Linked DNA regions of Xenopus tropicalis. The protein of the gene in region 1 interacts with the protein of each later gene in a pairwise test. Links are inferred from orthologs where the notes say so. Each region holds a gene or a part of one and is shown in the gene's direction. Other genes may lie near its edges.

Region 1 (5,455 bases):
ACTATGATGCAGCATTTTTGTCTATTTAAAAACAAAGTGCACAGAGCCTGACCCTTGTACCACTACACTAAAAGCAATAGCATGTTTTTCTGCACTGCTTTTTTAAGCAATCCATAACTGTGGCAACAGATAGCCTAAGGTCACCCACCACTTGCCGTACTCTGTAATGCTTGACACATGCTTGCAGTAGAGCCATTCAGTCATTAAATATAAATTGGTGGGTGTCAATACCTGACTTTGGGGCTGCATTTTTGACCTGCTTCTAAATGTGGCACTCCTATAAGGTCCAGACTGGAATTCAAAATATGTATGGGAATTTAAACTACAGAGACGCCCAAACTGCTCCCAGAAAGCCCAATAGATAACGATGGTCTGTCACCTTGCAGCAGCTCTTCTGCCATTTGCCAGAATCCACAGATTGCCAGTCCTGGCCTGACTCTAAGTGCCACTACCCTAAAGGTGACCATACATGTTAAGATCCGCTCGCTTGGTGAGGTCGCCCGTTGTTCCTGCCCCTACACGGGCCGATAAGCTGCCGAATTGGTCTAAGGGACCGATATCGGCAGCTACAACCGGCCCGTGTATGGCCACCTTAAGAGTTGTTTCTGTATGGTTTCATTATACAGGAACCACTTATCTTCAGATTCTAAGTAACAAAAAATGTATTTATTACAGTAATACAGTAACCTTACTAAAGGAAAACACATGCATTTATTGTATCTATAGTTATTAAAACAAAAAACTGTCATCTACAAAATTATAGGAACTAAATATATGGCATTTTGTCCTGCATTCTTACTACTATTACTTACATTTAAAATATCTTAATCAGGGTTTATCAAACTTGTTCTCAGGGAACTAAGATTTAGCCTGGAAGTCAGGCTTGGTGTTGCTTCAAGAACTGGTTTAGAATAAATAATAATATATAAATTTGAATCAGTACTGCCTTTAGTAGGAAGAAAATTCACTAAAGGAAAAAACATAGAAAACCACCTCCCCCCACCAAAAAAAACCAGTCATCGATTTTGTTTTCCGACCTACAGTCTGAACGATGCTAAATATAACCAACAGAATCTTCCGTTTACAAAGTAAAAGCTATAAATATAATATAGGGCTGGGTGGAAGTATGTGTGTGTACTTAAGCGTTAATAGCACAGATACAAAGTTTGCTTGCAGATTTTGCCGGTGACAGGCCTCTAAACACATCACTTATGAAACTATCGCATAATATTGCACAAGTTTCAATAAAATATATTGTTATCCGGTAGTTTATAAAATACGTATCACTGCTGGTAACTCTACTCGAATAATTTTACCATAACAGTCTTCACCTCCGATTACAAATAAGGATTGTTCATTATTGCCTTCTTTTAACAAGGAATAAAGTTTTTAACCTACAACAAAAAAAAACCCTGTGGGCCCGGAACGTGTATTCCACTCCCGCACGAACGCAAGACGCCGCGTCATAACGGTTATCCGAGACAAGAGGTGTCGTCAGCATTTGAGTGACGGGAGTTACAACCAATCGATGTCACGTATTATCCTAGTATCACCAATCAGCATTTTGACTGCTTGACAGCTAACTAGAAAGTGCATAGCCAATAGGGGTGCATAATTGTGATGGAGAACTTGTCCACCCTATCACACACAAGATTTGTTTATCTTTGCGTCCAATACACTCTTTAACCTTTCCCGTGACGCTCCGCTAGTTGCACAGCTAGGTTCCGGTTGATCGGTTGCCATGGCGGCGGCTGCTGGCAGCCCCGGTGCGGCTTATGAGTGTAATATCTGCTTGGAGACAGCGCGGGAACCTGTTGTCAGCGTGTGTGGGCATTTGTACTGGTGAGTGGAATGTGATGTGTCTGCCCTGTAGGCAGGTCTCTGCTAAGCTTGTTAATTCTGCTTTGCTGAGACTGTGTCCTTCAGTGGGTATGTATTTAGTTTGCTGTAGGAATGCATTGTTAGGGGGTTCGGCTACGGTCAGAAAGCTATCAGTAAAGTACAAGACCGAAATATTCAGGAAAGCTTCACCCCAACTGAAACTGTTCCCCTATAAAGGACTCAAAGCATTGGATGAGGGGAAAGAATGAGGCCCAGAGTACTAGTTGGAATGTGTTGAATGCTCTTAGAACCATATCATGTGACCTGTAGCTACAGCATGTTAAAGGGTAACTAAAATGCAATATAAGTTGCATGTCATGAAAAACAAACCTTCTAAACGTATTAAAATTTGCCTCCATACAAAAACTATTTTTTTGCAATGAAAAAAGGAAAATTGTCTGCAATGATTTAAAAAAATAAAATAAAATAAAATAAAAATGGAGACCTTACTGTTACATTGTTTCAATGTTTTCTGTTTTTTTTTTTTTCTTGAAGCAGGAGTCTGATTATGATTGACAATCATGTTTAATACAGCTATTGGGTGGGGCTCCCATTGCCTGCCATAGAAGATGTATTTGAGTTAATTCTTTCATAAAAGCAGACTTAAGCACAAATAATTCATGTAGAGGATCAAGATTGTGTGCGAGTTGGTTATTTTGAAAGAGTGATTTCCTTTAGGCAATTGGAATGCATCCCCAATGATGAATTAGTCCTCACTGACTACTCCATGAACAAAAAAAACAGACTGAAGAGTAACTTAAATATTAAAGAAATAGTACAAAATATATTTTTTGACCAATCATATTTTCTTAAGATAAAGCTGATTTTTATTTTTGCATCAGTTCCCCTTTGACATTTTGTAATCTTGTTATAAGCAAATTTTAACAGGTTCTCTTGATGTATTTTCACTGTACCCTGCAATCTTCTATGTTTAACCCAATCTTACAGTGAATATATTAATCCTTTCACTTATTGAGCCCCTTTGATCCACGCCATGATTTGTGTTGTTGGATTAAACTGAAACCCTGGAACTGCAGATTCTACATTGCTGGTACATATGTGCCTGTGCCCTGTAGATGCTTGAAATTAAAGGTGACAATTAGAGGATCCTTTGATGCTTGTTCTAGAAAATCAATGTCTTCATAATTCTACAATTGAATTATAAACTAGGCTATATCTGCAAGCACAGCCATTTTAAGCACAAATATTCCAATAGAACCTGTAAGCACAGCTGGTACAATATTGTTTTTTGTCTTAGCCAAAGAAAGTGCATTTTGCTTTACATATTTCATTATATCATTAAAACTCACTTGGCTTAAGCCAGAAAACGCAAAGTATGTTCAGATTCATATGTTTAAAATGAATATTTTTTCACAAACGACCGCAAGGCTAAACAGATAATGTGTCCAAAGTATAAACACTGATTTGTTAGTGTAAACAGATTTTGTTTATATGTATTGTATGGAAGAGACGCTTGTAAAATGCCACTGCTTGTAGTTTCTGTATGTGTGTTTATATAACAACGCTGATCGTTAAAACTGCATTGTGTTCTGTATTCTGATGTTATGTTTGTGTTTTACAGCTGGCCTTGTCTGCATCAGGTATGTATTTATTAATAAAAAAGTAGAATGAGTTAAATTCTTCTTTAGCTTTGTAGCAGCAGCAGCTAGCAGTGCTAACGGTTTCATTCAGATCACATGTTCAGTGTTACAGAAATATTTATTTGTAATAAAAGCATAACATAGATAAACTACTGTAGTATACATGAAGGGTATTTTATTTGTTTGTAGTAGTTCAAACCGTTTGCATATTGACTGCAACCTGTTCATATAGTGAAAAGTATGTATGTATGTATGTATATCTTAATTTATAAAGCGCTACTTATGTATGCAGCGCTGTACAGTACAATACATTAATACAAACAGGGGATTATTAAATAATAGATAAATACAAAGTACAACAATAAATACAGATAGATACAAGATAAATACAGTTGCAATAAGTTAAGAGTCAAAGACACAAGAAGATGGAGGTCCCCGTAGAGCTTACAATCTATATGGGAGGGTAACTTACAGACACAAATAGGCAAATGCACTATAAGTGCTGTAGGTCACAGTGGGTGACACTACAATATAAGTGCTGATTCCCAGATCAGGTGCTGGGTGAGTGCTCCAAAAGGTAGTCTTTAAGTTTAATTTTAAAAAGACTGGGGGAGGATTCTCTTCGGAGGAAATCAGGGAGGGCATTCCAAATGTAAGGGGCAGCAAGGCAGAAAAGTTTAAGGCGGGAAACAGCAGTAGTAGTGGGGGGCGCAACCAAACGATCGCTCTGTGAGGAACGAAGGAGTCGGCCAGGAACATACAGAGACACAAGGGAAGAGATGTAGTGAGGAGCAGAGGAATGGAGGGCTTTGAAGGTTAAAGGAACAGTAACACCAAAAAATGAAAGAGCTTTAAAGTAATAAAAATATAATGCACTGTTGCCCTGCACTGGTAAAACTGGTGTGTTTGCTACAGTAACACTACTATAATTTATATAATAAGCTGCTGTGTAGCCATGGGGGGCAGCCATTCAAGCTGGAGAAAAGGCACAGGTTACATAGCAGATAACAGATAAGCTCTGTGGAATACAATAGTGTTTTATCTGTTATCTGCTATGTGCCTGTGCCTTTTCTCCTTTGAATGGCTACCTCCATGGCTACATAGCAACTTATTTATATAAATTATAGTAGACTTTCTGAAGTAAACACACAACTTTTACCAGTGCAGGGCAACAGCACATTATATTTTAGTTACTTTTATACACTTTGATTTTTTGGTGTTACTGTTCCTTTAAGAGAAGGAGTTTGTAAGATATTCTTTGTTTAACAGGAAGCCACGATAAGGACTTTAGCAGGGGAAGGGCCTGAACTCTCCTGGATGAGAGGAGGAGAATTCTGGCAGCAGTATTTAATATAGACTGTAGGGGGGAGAGATTGGAGTTAGGGAGGCCGGTTAGTAGCAGGTTACAGTAGTCAAATGAAAAGTGAAATAAAACACTTGCCCCACAGGAAGCAAAGGCTTGTGTATCTTTTAGGGCTCTGGTACACGGGGAGATTAGTCGCCCGCGACAAAACTCCCTGCTCGCGGGCGACTAATCTCCCCGAGTTGCCTTCCCCCTGCCATCCCACCGGCGTACGTGTAAGTCGCCGGCGGGATGGCAGACGCGGCAGCGCGATTTCGCACAAATCGGCGAAAAAGACTCGCGAGGCTTTTTCTGCGATTTTCCCCGTGTACCAGAGCCCTTATAGGTATTACCAGCTTCTAAACTTCCTGTGGCTTTCCTTACATTACAATTGGTGTTCTAAATGATCAGAACAGAGGGGAAGCCTTTAATCATATGACTTATTTAAACTTAAAAAAAACTGATTGACCCAGAGCCTTCATCCTGCTTAACAGTTTGTTAAAAAGACAATACGTTTGAAAACAGCTGTCACTCTCTATCTCCATATATTTGCCATTGTGAATCCAAAGCCAGGTTCAGCTTTTAATAAGGTATGGAGCAGTTCATGTAGAAGAGCTTTTATTAACTGTGG
Region 2 (4,796 bases), on another chromosome or scaffold:
AACACAAGGCAGCAGCCTGACAGACCTGACTCGCTGGGGGAGACTGACCCCTGAAACACTGTAACACAAGGCAGCAGCCTGACAGACCTGACTCGCTGGGGGAGGACTGACCCCTGAAACAGTGTAACACAAGGCAGCAGCCTGACAGACCTGACTCACTGGGGGAGACTGACCCCTGAAACAGTGTAACACAAGGGCAGCAGCCTGACAGACCTGACTCGCTGGGGGAGACTGACCCCTGAAACACTGTAACACAGGGCAGCAGCCTGACAGACCTGACTCGCTGGGGGAGACTGACCCCTGAAACAGTGTAACACAAGGCAGCAGCCTGACAGACCTGACTCGCTGGGGGAGACTGACCCCTGAAACACTGTAACACAGGGCAGCAGCCTGACAGACCTGACTCGCTGGGGGAGACTGACCCCTGAAACACTGTAACACAAGGCAGCAGCCTGACAGACCTGACTCGCTGGGGGAGACTGACCTGAAACATTGTTTCAAAGTCATAACCAGGAGTTCAGCAAATGCTTCTTGAATAGCAATTACATTTACTAATAACTTTTAAAGGTCTAACAATTTTTTTTTTATAAATTCATGTTTTCTTTTATTAGGCAAAAATGTTTTGTTTGGGTTGACTTGTCCTTTAAAAATATCCCTTCTAACAGTTTTATTAACATATAGGCCATTTGCCCCCAGGGGGGGGGAGTATTATCGTATAATAGGGTAACGTGTGTGTGATACATATGGTGGGAAGGATTGGTGTTACTGTCCCTTTAATAGTCGAGAGTGCGGGTCGGTTCTCCTTGACTCCAGTGCAGAAAGTGGACTTTGCCAACAACACGCAGCTGTCTCTCACTCTGGCCGCTCTCTCCATCGGCCTGTGGTGGACATTTGACCGCTCTCGCAGTGGCCTGGGCCTGGGAATTGGAATCTCTTTCTTTGCTACAGTCGTCTCTCAGCTCCTGGTGTACAATGGGGTGTATGAGTGAGTACAGCGCCCCCCCCCTCCCACTGTGACCCCCCCCAGGGGCCCCTCTCCCAACTGGCTGCTTGGGGTGTGACACTGTGTTTGTTGTGCCCAGGTACACGGCCCCCGATTTCCTGTATGTGCGCTCCTGGCTGCCCTGCATATTCTTTGCTGGGGGGATCACTATGGGCAACATTGGCCGGCAGCTGGAAATGGTACGTACCACTCTCTGTACAGGGGGGCTTAGTCCTGGCCCCCCCACATCTTGCTGGGCTGAAACTTAGAGAACTTTATGGTGGGTGGGCGGGTGCACTGGGTCGGATTCTTGGTACTTGTTCTGTTGGCATGGGATGGGTGGGTACATATCAGGATGGGGGGGCTGTAGGGTATTGGTTGAGGAGGCTTGGCATGGTGCTAGCTGTGTTGGCAGGGGATGGGTGGGTACATATCAGGATGGGGGGGGGCTGTAGGGTATTGGTTGAGGAGGCTTGGCATGGTGCTAGCTGTGTTGGCATGGGATGGGTGGGTACATATCAGGATGGGGGGGGCTGTAGGGTATTGGTTTGAGGAGGCTTGGCATGGTGCTAGCTGTGTTGGCATGGGATGGGTGGGTACATATCAGGATGGGGGGGCTGTAGGGTATTGGTTGAGGAGGCTTGGCATGGTGCTAGCTGTGTTGGCAGGGGATGGTGGGTACATATCAGGATGGGGGGGGGGGGCTGTAGGGTATTGGTTGAGGAGGCTTGGCATGGTGCTAGCTGTGTTGGCATGGGATGGGTGGGTACATATCAGGATGGGGGGGGCTGTAGGGTATTGGTTGAGGAGGCTTGGCATGGTGCTAGCTGTGACATAACAAACTGTATAAGTTGGATGAAACCATGAGATATTTCTGTTTATGCTGAAATGTACCCCCTGCCCCCCTCCTACCTGTTGTAGCAAATGCATTGTGTAGGTTAATCTCATCTAGGTGTGTATTGTGTGTATCCAGCCGGCTCTGTCTGGCCCTCCCCATGTAATTGCCCCTATTGTGAGGGCACACAGAGCCAGACCCCATAGTGACACAATACACATAGTTACCCCTTGTGAGAGCAGTGCTCTGTCTAGTAAATGCAAAAGACTGAACTGGGCATGCTCACTAGGTGGCTTCCCATAGGCCCAGTGGGATTAGCTATGATTGGCCCCTCTGGAAGCTGCCTTTGGGTTGGCAGAAGGAGTCAAATCCTGTTTTGGTTTTACGACAGGGGCTGTTCCCTTTCTGGCTACAAAGGTGGCTGCCAAGAGTTCCAAGGAGCCTTTTGTCTGGGGTGTAACCTTAGCTACGGCAGGACCCCCTCCCCTGTGTTCCCCTGGAATCTACCTTAGCTGGGGCAAGAAGATTCCCCCCAACTGTGTGTATTTCCCTACTCCCTAAGGAACAAGAGTGCAGGCTGGCTACCACCTACTGGCTTATGGGAACCTGCTGATGGCTACTTGCCATTTCTCCAATAAACGCCTCATCCTGTGATACCAACTGTTTGCTCTTTGGGTCCTGCCCTATGTCTGGGAACTCACGGCCCTGAGGGTGTGACACCAGCTGTGTTGGCAGGGGATGGGTGGGTACATATCAGGATGGGGGTGCTGAAGGGTATTGGTTGAGGAGGCTTGGCATGGTGCTAGCTGTGTTGGGATGGGTGGGTACATATCAGGATGGGGGGGCTGTAGGGTATTGGTTGAGGAGGCTTGGCATGGTGCTAGCTGTGTTGGGATGGGTGGGTACATATCAGGATGGGGGGGCTGTAGGGTATTGGTTGAGGAGGCTTGGCATGGTGCTAGCTGTGTTGGGATGGGTGGGTACATATCAGGATGCGGGGGCTGTAGGGTATTGGTTGAGGAGGCTTGGCATGGTGCTAGCTGTGTTGGGATGGGTGGGTACATATCAGGATGCGGGGGCTGTAGGGTATTGGTTGAGGAGGCTTGGCATGGTGCTAGCTGTGTTGGGATGGGTGGGTACATATCAGGATGGGGGGGGCTGTAGGGTATTGGTTGAGGAGGCTTGGCATGGTGCTAGCTGTGTTGGCATGGGATGGGTGGGTACAGATCAGGATGCGGGGGCTGTAGGGTATTGGTTGAGGAGGCTTGGCATGGTGCTAGCTGTGTTGGCATGGGATGGGTGGGTACATATCAGGATGGGGGGGCTGCAGGGTATTGGTTGAGGAGGCTTGGCATGGTGCTAGCTGTGTTGGGATGGGTGGGTACATATCAGGATGGGGGGGGGCTGTAGGGTATTGGTTGAGGAGGCTTGGCATGGTGCTAGCTGTGTTGGCAGGGGATGGGTGGGTACATATCAGGATGGGGGGGCTGAAGGGTATTGGTTGAGGAGGCTTGGCATGGTGCTAGCTGTGTTGGGATGGGTGGGTACATATCAGGATGCGGGGGCTGTAGGGTATTGGTTGAGGAGGCTTGGCATGGTGCTAGCTGTGTTGGGATGGGATGGGTGGGTACATATCAGGATGGGGGGGGCTGTAGGGTATTGGTTGAGGAGCTTGGCATGGTGCTAGCTGTGTTGGCATGGGATGGGTGGGTACATATCAGGATGGGGGGGCTGAAGGGTATTGGTTGAGGAGGCTTGGCATGGTGCTAGCTGTGTTGGGATGGGTGGGTTACATATCAGGATGCGGGGGCTGTAGGGTATTGGTTGAGGAGGCTTGGCATGGTGCTAGCTGTGTTGGCATGGGATGGGTGGGTACATATCAGGATGCGGGGGCTGTAGGGTATTGGTTGAGGAGGCTTGGCATGGTGCTAGCTGTGTTGGCATGGGATGGGTGGGTACAGATCAGGATGCGGGGGCTGTAGGGTATTGGTTGAGGAGGCTTGGCATGGTGCTAGCTGTGTTGGCATGGGATGGGTGGGTACAGATCAGGATGCGGGGGCTGTAGGGTATTGGTTGAGGAGGCTTGGCATGGTGGCTAGCTGTGTTGGGAATGGGTGGGTACATATCAGGATGGGGGGGCTGCAGGGTATTGGTTGAGGAGGCTTGGCATGGGTGCTAGCTGTGTTGGGATGGGTGGGTACATATCAGGATGGGGGGGGCTGTAGGTATTGGTTGAGGAGGCTTGGCATGGTGCTAGCTGTGTTGGCATGGGATGGGTGGGTACATATCAGGATGGGGGGGGGCTGTAGGGTAATTGGTTGAGGAGGCTTGGCATGGTGCTAGCTGTGTTGGCATGGGATGGGTGGGTACAGATCAGGATGGGGGGGCTGTAGGGTATTGGTTGAGGAGGCTTGGCATGGTGCTAGCTGTGTTGGGATGGATGGGTGGGTACATATCAGATGGGGGGGCTGTAGGGTATTGGTTGAGGAGGCTTGGCATGGTGCTAGCTGTGTTGGGATGGGTGGGTACATATCAGGATGGGGGGCTGTAGGGTATTGGTTGAGGAGGCTTTGCATGGTGCTAGCTGTGTTGGCATGGGATGGTGCGGTACATATCAGGATGGGGGGCTGTAGGGTATTGGTTGAGGAGGCTTGGCATGGTGCTAGCTGTGTTGGGATGGGTGGGTACATATCAGGATGCGGGGGCTGTAGGGTATTGGTTGAGGAGGCTTGGCATGGTGCTAGCTGTGTTGGGATGGGTGGTACATATCAGGATGCGGGGGCTGTAGGGTATTGGTTGAGGAGGCTTGGCATGGTGCTAGCTGTGTTGGCATGGATGGTGGGTTACATATCAGGATGCGGGGGCTGTAGGGTAATGGTTGAGGAGGCTTGGCATGGTGCTAGCTGTGTTGGCATGGGATGGGTGGGTTACAGATCAGGATGCGCGGGCTGTAGGGTATTGGTTGAGGAGGCTTGCATG
Region 3 (4,796 bases), about 1.3 Mb from region 1:
GTTGGGTTTTTTCTATCCCCATTAGGTTTCAGTCTTGTGGACCATTTCCTATTATTCATCCCCTCTTGCTATCTGCTATATGTACAGAAAAGGTATGGAATCTTGTCAACATGCAATCAATACAGTAATTAATATAGTTTGTGTTGTGTTCGCTGCCATAAAGGTGAAAAATTATCCACAAACTTTCTTAGCGTACACATATGGAAGCTGTTATTTGATGATGTGATTATACAATTTGTAATGATGGTGTTACTATTTTGCTGCAGATTTCTACAGAACTGCCACAGACAAAAAAGGTGTTGACTAGCAAAATTGCACAGCTCTTGGTTTTGCTTGGGTATACTGGGACACCATAATGCTTTGGCAGTTATCAGTAATGTGATTTAAATGGGTACCTGGGGTCCAGTGTATTGGTGTTAAATACATTTTTATTTTTTTTTTATTTTTTTTAAAAAGTAGGAAAAAATAATTATTCCATACTGGATACCCCATAATTCTCCAGATAAACAACAACAACAACACAGCAGTGCAACACACAGAATATTTATTGGCTACAGATCAAATTAAAAAAATTCAGTAAAAAATGCATACCATACCAAATGACCATAGTCACTTCCTAGTGCCACATGGCCCCCATGCTCCGCCCTACTTATACGTTTCCCACCATTGGGGGCTTCATCAGAGATATAGTCTGATATAGTGCAAAATGCATGCATATGGAAACAGAGCATAGGGGCCATGAGGCACTAGCAAATATCTTTGGTTTCTTTGGTATTGTAACCAATAAATGTTCTGTGTGTAGCACTGCTATATTAGCTGCTTTAGCGCTAAATTACATACACTGGATGTCTTTTTTTCTGTCTTTAAGTTGATTAATAATGACAGCCAGTTATCCATCCAACAGCTTTTCAAACCATCCTTCAAACAACTAACCATTAACTCTTTCATTGTACAGTCACTGTGAGCTCAGACTGATGTGCATAATGTCCCAAAGTTAATGCAATGTGACATGGAGTTTTTCAGGGGCTTAACCTTTCAGTTGCTGAAAAAAATCCCTACTACAGACTAACATTGCAATTACCTGACAATTGGTTATATCAGCAATTGTCAGGAGATTGTTGCTTATAAAGGGTGCACAGCTACTTTTTCGAACAACTGTCACCTAATAAGCACTGGCAGAAGTGCCTGACTTGTGATTATAGTGTAAGTAAGTGGGGTGTTGTTTTGGGTGCTTTAACACTGTATTTATGCTTGTTTGTATGACTTTCCCAATATTTTCCTTCTTAATACTAATTTTAACCTATTCAGTTGTCTTAACTACTGATTATGCACTCATTTTTTTAATTCTATTGGTACTGCTTTCTTGACATGCCATCTCTTATGTTCAGCTCTTCTGCCTCCTTTTCTGTACTTCCAGTCTTCTGAAAAAACATGTGTATGTAGAATGTTATTTAACTTTTTTGTTTAATTTTTGTTATTTCCCTTTACAAAAATGCCTGATGTAGTTAGATCTGTGCTTTTGATATCTCTGTGCTGACAATCATCTTTTTGGGTTTCAGGTTATCTGAACATGTCCCGATTGGTTCCCCTTGGACAATATGGTCTGACATTTCTACTTCTGCTGGCAGGGGTTGTGTGCTTGAGAGGTAAGGAAAACTATAGGACAAAGCATGATTAAAAAACAGAGCTACGTGTACTTACTATTTTACACACTGCTTTATAAGAATGCTGATCCTGCATTAGCAATTAAATTCTTCCCTTTAATGATGTATAAGACACTTATAGCTAGTTATATATAGATTGGTGGGGTTTAGCAACTTCATTGCTAAGCCTCATGTTTAGTAGTTTTACTAAATTATGACAGTGGATCTTAGTTTGATTTTATCTGCTGATGACCTCTTTATGAGTATGCAGTTCAGATGTGATCTGGCCATCAACATAACTGGACTGATTACGCATAAGGTTCTCATGTGGCCAAATGGCCCCAGTCAGATGATGTGGAAAAATGCAACTTATCACTTTTTACATTGTACTGTCTTTCCCTGCAGGTATTGGCAGATGGAGCAACCCTCATTATATTCAGTTTATTTACATTTTAGAGAGAACCAAGATAGAAAACAACCCAGAGAACAAAGTAAGGTGCTAGAGCATGCCTGTGTTGCATAGGTGCTTTTTCTGCCTGTATGCCATTTAATTACAACTGTAATTTCCAAGTTCCAGGTGCTGTGTTTTTTTAAATATGTGATACATAAGTATTATGGTGTGTGTGATGGGTGGAGACTGCAACTAAAAAAATGGGTTTGCAGTATTAACATAAGTGCCTTGATATTTGAGTAAGCATATCTGAGAGATTATGGTTTATTGTTACATATTTTTAAGAGGGAGTGGCTAATTCCTAAACCTCATTTCAACATAACTTTTTTCATACATTCTCTCTTGTTCTGCCTATGAATTGTGCTTATTAGGTGACAGTTGTTTGAAAAAGCAGTTGTGCAGCTTTTCATGCAACAATGTCCTGACAAGTGCTGTTGGGGGATTTTTCAGCAACTGAAATATTAAGCCCCTGAAAAAGCTCCATGTCACATTGCAAAGATGAAGCAAGGCAGGCATTATACGTTCACTAAGTATGCTAAGATACCAGGAGGGAGCTTCTAGGGCTCTTTACTCGGGTACAGTGGCTTGCAAAAGTATTCGGCCCCCTTGAAATTTTTTACATTTTGTCACATTACAGCCACAAACATGAATCAAATTTATTGGAATTCCACGTGAAAGACCAATACAAAGTGGTGTACACGTGAGAAGTGGAACGAAAATCATACATGATTCCAAACATTTTTTACAAATAAATAACTGCAAAGTGGGGTGTGCGTAATTATTCAGCCCCCTTTGGTCTGAGTGCAGTCAGTTGCCCATAGACATTGCCTGATGAGTGCTAATGACAGTACAAATACAGCTGCTCTGTGACGGCCTCAGAGGTTGTCTAAGAGAATATTGGGAGCAACAACACCATGAAGTCCAAAGAACACACCAGACAGGTCAGGGATAAAGTTATTGAGAAATTTAAAGCAGGCTTAGGCTACAAAAAGATTTCCAAAGCCTTGAACATCCCACGGAGCACTGTTCAAGCGATCATTTAGAAATGAAAGGAGTATGGCACAACTGCAAACCTACCAAGACAAGGCCGTCCACCTAAACTCACAGGCCGAACAAGGAGAGCGTTGATCAGAAATGCAGCCAAGAGGCCCATGGTGACTCTGGACGAGCTGCAGAGATCTACAGCTCAGGTGGGGGAATCTGTCCATAGGACAACTATTAGTCGTGTACTGCACAAAGTTGGCCTTTTATGGAAGAGTGGCAAGAAGAAAGCCATTGTTAACTGAAAACCATAAGAAGTCCCGTTTGCAGTTTGCCACAAGCCATGTGGGGGACACAGTAAACATGTGGAAGAAGGTGCTCTGGTCAGATGAGACCAAAATGGAACTTTTTGGCCAAAATGCAAAACACTATGTGTGGCGGAAAACTAACACTGCACATCACTCTGAACACACCATCCCCACTGTCACATATGGTGGTGGCAGCATCATGATCTGGGGGTGCTTCTCTTCAGCAGGGACAGGGAAGCTGGTCAGAGTTGATGGGAAGATGGATGGAGCCAAATACAGGGCAATCTTGGAAGAAAACCTCTTGGAGTCTGCAAAAGACTTGAGACTGGGGCGGAGGTTCACTTTCCAGCAGGACAACGACCCTAAACATAAAGCCAGGGCAACAATGGAATGGTTTAAAACAAAACATATCCATGTGTTAGAATGGCCCAGTCACAGTCCAGATCTAAATCCAATCGAGAATCTGTGGCAAGATCTGAAAACTGCTGTTCACAAACGTTGTCCATCTAATCTGACTGAGCTGGAGCTGTTTTGCAAAGAAGAATGGGCAAGGATTTCAGTCTCTAGATGTGCAAAGCTGGTAGAGACATACCCTAAAAGACTGGCAGCTGTAATTGCAGCAAAAGGTGGTTCTACAAAGTATTGACTCAGGGGGCTGAATAATTACGCACACCCCACTTTGCAGTTATTTATTTGTAAAAAATGTTTGGAATCGTATGATTTTCGTTCCACTTCTTACGTGTACACCACTTTGTATTGGTCTTTCACGTGGAATTCCAATAAAATTGATTCATGTTTGTGGCTGTAATGTGACAAAATGTGGAAAAGTTCAAGGGGGCCAAATACTTTTGAAAGCCACTGTATGTTAAAGCTTTCTGCAGAATAAATATAGCATTCTAGGTGGCTCTAATGTGGCTAATCTATTGGCAGTAAAATGCCGAAATGACTTTCCTTCTCCTTTTAATCAAGTAATTCAGAAATGTAGAACATGTTTATTTTTTCTTTGTAATAATAAAACAGTAACTTGTACTGTACTTGATTCCAACTAAGATAAAAATAATTCTTATTGAAGGCAAAACAATCCTGTTAAATTCATTTAATGTTTAAATTACCTTTTAGTAGATTTAAAGGACAATGAAAGGTTAATATAAATTAAAGTAAGTCTAAAGGCATTCTTTTTAAGTACTTACTGCATATCTAAATTCCCAGATCCCTGCTTGCTTCTCTGAGATATGGTGCTGGCAGGCTACAGCAGTGTGAAGACTACAGTGAGATCACTGAAATATCTCTGTCCTTCCTGTAGGCTGCCAGCGGCAGCCTTCCTATTCTCTGAGCATGTGTGTAACTTGATCCTGTCTGCTGTTCTGAGCTACACATACCCACCAGCCAATCAGAAGCGGATCTGCCAGAGGG
Region 4 (4,796 bases), on another chromosome or scaffold:
TGGCCTAACAAGATTCAAGCTGGCAAGCTCCTATTGACAGCTTTGTAGGCCTGGATTATGCCTGTTACAGGGATGCTGAAGTTCTGGGGTGGTACAGTAAGTTTAGCATTTCTAGCCATATTTGTAACCAAATTAGTTCTCCAGCTTTGCATGTTTTTGGGGCCGTATTTCCAGCTTTTCTCTTTGTTATTCAAGATGACCCTTGTGCACCTTAATTTTTAAACAGATTCTGGCACATTGCAACCTATTCACCATTCTTTTCCTTGAGCCACTCCAGTGTTAACTGCCTTGTGTTTGGGATAATTATCCTGCTAAAAGATTAACTTTCTCCCAAGAATCCAATGTTAGCTGACTTAAACGGTTTTTTTTGACCCCATGTGTTTTATATTAAGAAAACATACTTTTCTGGTATTATTTTTACATAGTGAAGATAAATATTGAAATATTTGGCTTTGTGTGTGATCTTGTCTACACAGATCTAATGAACTTGCCATTAACTTAATTGTTATTTATATTGTATTTCCAATTTATGATTGAGCTGTGAAAAAAAGTGCAGTGATGCCATAAAAGTATCCAAATTTAATATCTTGCATTATAAACCTTTAATGAGCATGAGTAATGGATCTGTGTACATTGACTCCTTTTGTATCATGCCGTAATGCCCAGAGCCTGTTGCCTGGAGCTTGTTACTCCATAACACCCTGTGCTGAGCTAATATTTGCATGCATTGCCCAGGAGAAAAGTGAGCTGCCGCTCTCAGTATTTCCTCCAAGGTTGAGGCATTTATTTAGATTCAATACCTGACAATATTGTGTGCACAACAGTAGCCAATGATATATTAATATTATGTAGTGAAACCTGTGTGTTTGTCCATTCATTTACATGTAGGTTAAGAGGAAGGAGGGAAGATGTTTGGTCACTCCTGTTAGAGCAAGGTGCTCATTTCTGGAATTAGGAACACATCCCTGATCCCTTATTCACACTGGCCAACAGGGCAAGAGGGTTATAGTTTAATTTAAAGGGATTTCTGGTTTGTGTTGGGGTTGTATGTTTGGAAAACAATATTTTTTTTTACAGAACAATTAATATTTCCTATCCGTTTATTTTTAGGTGGATTGTAGATATGGAAGGAGCGCCTGGTACATTATATGAAGGAGAGAAATTCCAGCTTTTATTTAAGTTCAGCAGTCGATATCCTTTTGATTCCCCTCAGGTAATGTTTTTTTGAGCAAATCGTGTACCGTAAGTAAAAACAAAGAATTGCTCATATTCTGCCTTTGTGACTGCAGACCTACAGGATACATATGCCATATCCTAAAAATTTACCGTAAATTATTTAAACAGTATTTTTTTTGTAGGTAGGAAGCATATGTATTTTTTTGTATATACCCCCTCTAGTGATGTATGGGTTGTCCCCCAACACCCACAGGTTTACTCTTAGGTCAAGCAGGTTAGGGTTAAAATTTTCACAACTGTTATGGGTTCAGTAGGGTATGGGTCAGACCGGGGAAGTACACCCTTCCTTTGCTCCTAAGGTTTTCCTGTCTAAGGTGAGCACAGAAGTAGCGTAGAGAGTGAAAAGATGGTTATGGGTTGGGTTCAAGTCTTACAATGGCAATATTTTGTGGGTTAGGATTGGGTGCAACTTAAGCATTTGCGGGTTGAATTTTTCCTGACCCGCATATCACTTAACCTCGTCCCCTGTAAGCTCATTCTGTTGGGCTTATGTAAAAAATGGTGCATGAATAATATCTGAACTTGTGACGATAAATAGAAATGTATTATGGGGCTTGATGTCCCCCTGCTTTTCAGAGAATCTGTGCACCACCCACTATGGAAAGCAGAGGGACTTCAACAGTTACACTGGGAGCCTAGACCAGATAAAGAACTGCTCCCAGTGTTCACAGAGACAGACTATCATGAACTCCTTTCAGTTTGTGGAATCTGGTATGTCTGATGTCTGTGTAAAAAAATAAAATAAAAAAAATAATGGCATTTCAGAATGAGTAAATATCACTAAATCACAAAAATGTTTAACATACTCATAGTTTTTTAGTTTCTCTCAAGAAGCGGGAAAGTATGTAACTTAAATATTTTAGTCTTTTAATTTACATGTTTTACTAAGTTTGAAATGCAAGTATATGTGTGTATTTTATAACTGGTAGGTAGCGATACCTTTTTCTTAAAAACTTAGAATTCCTAGTGGGGTACATACTACTATCTAGGTAGATCTTACTTACTATCTAGTTACTTTCTGTGTGTGTACAATATTTTTTCTTGCTTATATTTGCTTCAAGAAAATATCTATATATAATATAAATCTAAAATATAATTTTATATAATATATATGCACTTGCACAAAAAAATAACTAATGAAACGTAGGGCCAGGGAATGTACATAAATCATTTGACTCCCCCCCCCCCCCCCCCCACTTTTTTTTCTGTGTTTAAGCTATTTAGAATATTGTATTTATTTCCATTGGACCTTTTGTACTTGGCAATAATATTGTATTTACCAAAGGAAGTAATACTAGTTGCTCCCAATGGCCTCCCAGAGACACGTTTTGGAAACACCGAGAGCCTCCTGCTAGCTAGCATTCAACATGGGGCTAACAAACAGTAAATCACAGCCCCTTTGGTTAGGCTTATTTTTATTTTACATGCCAAATTTTAGTATGCATCATTTGTAGTGTTGACAATTATCTGAACTTTATCAGCTCCAGGATCCAAGGTAATTAATTTTTTTTGTGGTTTGTAAATTAGCTACACATTAGAATCAGCCCTGCAAAGACCTAGTAACTGGAGAGGGTAAAGCCTGCTTACCTTTTAAACCTGTTAGGAACCAGACAAATTATTCCTGATGTTCAGTTGCAGTTTGTGTTACATACACAAGGAAGGCCCCCTGTAGATCTGTTTGCTCTAAATGGCACACATAGCACTTTCCTGACCCCTGTTATAAATCAAATGTAACAGGTCAACATCATTAACTGTAAGTTAGCCTCTGGGGAAGAATGGGCACTATAATGGTCAGACTGGATAGGCTAAATATGTTCAGAGTGAGTGCATACTCTTCAGTGCCGCCTGTTTCTTATTCAAGTGCATGGAACTGTGGGTGGCAGTCATGGGCACTTTTCAGCTAGCTAGAAATTACCCCTCATGTCATAAGTTACTATATTCTACTCATATATCCTAAACATTACATGAAAAACAATATTTGCAGTAATATATTATTTTTCATGTTTTGACCCTCTGCATTACTTTTAAATGTACATGCATCTAAAATAGGTATGGCCAACCTGTCCCCCCCTTTAAAATTAACTGATAGAATCCCACAGTAAACATGTGCCATCAGGGTGCTAGGTGCCAGACGTGATTATGATATATGCAGTATTAATAAGCCTGTTATATAACCTTACACCTTGCACATTTCCTCTTTTTAGGTTATGTTTACTGGTGACAACATCCCTGTTCATCCTCATGTATATAGCAACGGCCATATATGTTTATCAATATTAACCGAAGATTGGTCCCCAGCCCTGTCTGTTCAGTCTGTCTGTCTTAGCATTATCAGCATGCTTTCCAGCTGCAAAGAAAAGGTGAGTTTGCCAGCGGCACTGAATCTTTATAGATCATGAGTGAATAGATGGGCCTTTCATGTGTCTGCATGGACATCTGAAATGTATTTGTTTCTGAGAAATCTTGCATGCTAACTTAATATTGATAACTAGAACCAATCAATTCATGTCTCTTTAAATAAATCATTTTTAATGCCACCCAGAGCTTAAGACATTACAGGATGTTACTATTAAGACAAAATGTTAGGCACCCCCAATTGACTTAAATTGCTTACCTTTTACCCTGGGCTGGTGCCCCTGTTAGGAGAAAACAGCACCAGCCCAGGGTAGCTGCAGCGAGCGCTTCCTCCTTCCTGTATCGCTCACGCACGCGCATGCGCATTAGAGTGAAAAGCTGAACTTAAACAGAGAAGTCGGCTTTTCACTCTACTGCGCATGCGCCGGTCCTGGGGTCCCGGCAAAACGAAGCAGGAAGGAGGAAGCGCTCGCTACAGGTACCGGGGTACAAGGTAAGCGATTAAAGTCACTTGGGGGTGCCTAACATTTTGGCATCCCCAAGTGACTTAACCTTTCCTTGTCTTTTAAGGCTGTGATCCCCAACCTGTGGCTTGTGAGCAACATGTTGATGTTGATGTTGATGTTGCTTCCAATGGCCTCAAAGTTGGTGCCCATTTTTTAATTTCTGACTTGGAGGCATAAAGACCACGTGAACCAAGCCTCTAGTAGTCTGCCAGTCCACATTCGGCTCTTATTAACCAATTTGAGTCCTTATTGGTCACCTACTAGGAAAGTTTTTGTGCTTGAGTTGCTCCCCAGCTTGTTTTAATTGAAATTTTTCTCATGGGTAAAATAGGTTGGGGATCCCTGCCTTATGGTTTATAAATGAGACATGTCTTTATAGTAGAGTAATTTTGTAGGATGAGAGCTTTTGCACACAGTTACTAGTTTAACACTTATTTATGCAAAACATAATTCGAGGATTACAATTTTCCCTTGTATAAACCTGTATGACAAAGATGTGAGCTATTGTGGTTGGTAAAAGCTCTCTTTCCCTGGTAATTGAAAGTTAAAGATAAGTAAGTCTGTTTTAAAATCGCCTAAAATTACACTTTAAAGCCCCCAGAATAACCTTTCTCCCTGAACCCAGATTTTTTTGTTTCTCTATTACAAGCAGCTAAACTGCAGCTCTTTTATCAACTTCCTTGTCTAGCATGAAGCCAC

The links.
Region 2: the proteins of rnf5 (region 1) and insig2 interact in binary tests that used the Homo sapiens proteins (3 or more experiments, as listed by UniProt). The two-hybrid records come from large-scale screens. The link is inferred for Xenopus tropicalis from reciprocal best matches to the Homo sapiens genes RNF5 and INSIG2.
Region 3: the proteins of rnf5 (region 1) and abhd16a interact in binary tests that used the Homo sapiens proteins (3 or more experiments, as listed by UniProt). The link is inferred for Xenopus tropicalis from reciprocal best matches to the Homo sapiens genes RNF5 and ABHD16A.
Region 4: the proteins of rnf5 (region 1) and ube2w interact in binary tests that used the Homo sapiens proteins (3 or more experiments, as listed by UniProt). The link is inferred for Xenopus tropicalis from reciprocal best matches to the Homo sapiens genes RNF5 and UBE2W.

What each region holds. Positions count from the first base shown.
Region 1 is NC_030684.2:73,546,289-73,551,743, reverse strand, and holds the start of rnf5 (E3 ubiquitin-protein ligase RNF5), read left to right. Parts: upstream 1-1,728; 5' UTR 1,729-1,741; coding exon 1,742-1,842; intron 1,843-3,463; coding exon 3,464-3,482; intron 3,483-5,455. Other genes in the region: agpat1 (1-acyl-sn-glycerol-3-phosphate acyltransferase alpha), read right to left, coding at 1,399-1,501. UniProt on the Homo sapiens protein: Membrane-bound E3 ubiquitin-protein ligase that mediates ubiquitination of target proteins. May function together with E2 ubiquitin-conjugating enzymes UBE2D1/UBCH5A and UBE2D2/UBC4.
Region 2 is NC_030685.2:90,826,331-90,831,126, reverse strand, and holds part of insig2 (insulin-induced gene 2 protein), read left to right. Parts: intron 1-818; coding exon 819-985; intron 986-1,082; coding exon 1,083-1,182; intron 1,183-4,796. UniProt on the Homo sapiens protein: Oxysterol-binding protein that mediates feedback control of cholesterol synthesis by controlling both endoplasmic reticulum to Golgi transport of SCAP and degradation of HMGCR.
Region 3 is NC_030684.2:74,875,874-74,880,669, forward strand, and holds part of abhd16a (protein ABHD16A), read left to right. Parts: intron 1-25; coding exon 26-92; intron 93-1,559; coding exon 1,560-1,646; intron 1,647-2,048; coding exon 2,049-2,134; intron 2,135-4,796. UniProt on the Homo sapiens protein: Phosphatidylserine (PS) lipase that mediates the hydrolysis of phosphatidylserine to generate lysophosphatidylserine (LPS). LPS constitutes a class of signaling lipids that regulates immunological and neurological processes.
Region 4 is NC_030682.2:121,362,199-121,366,994, reverse strand, and holds part of ube2w (ubiquitin-conjugating enzyme E2 W), read left to right. Parts: intron 1-1,110; coding exon 1,111-1,213; intron 1,214-3,440; coding exon 3,441-3,596; intron 3,597-4,796. UniProt on the Homo sapiens protein: Accepts ubiquitin from the E1 complex and catalyzes its covalent attachment to other proteins.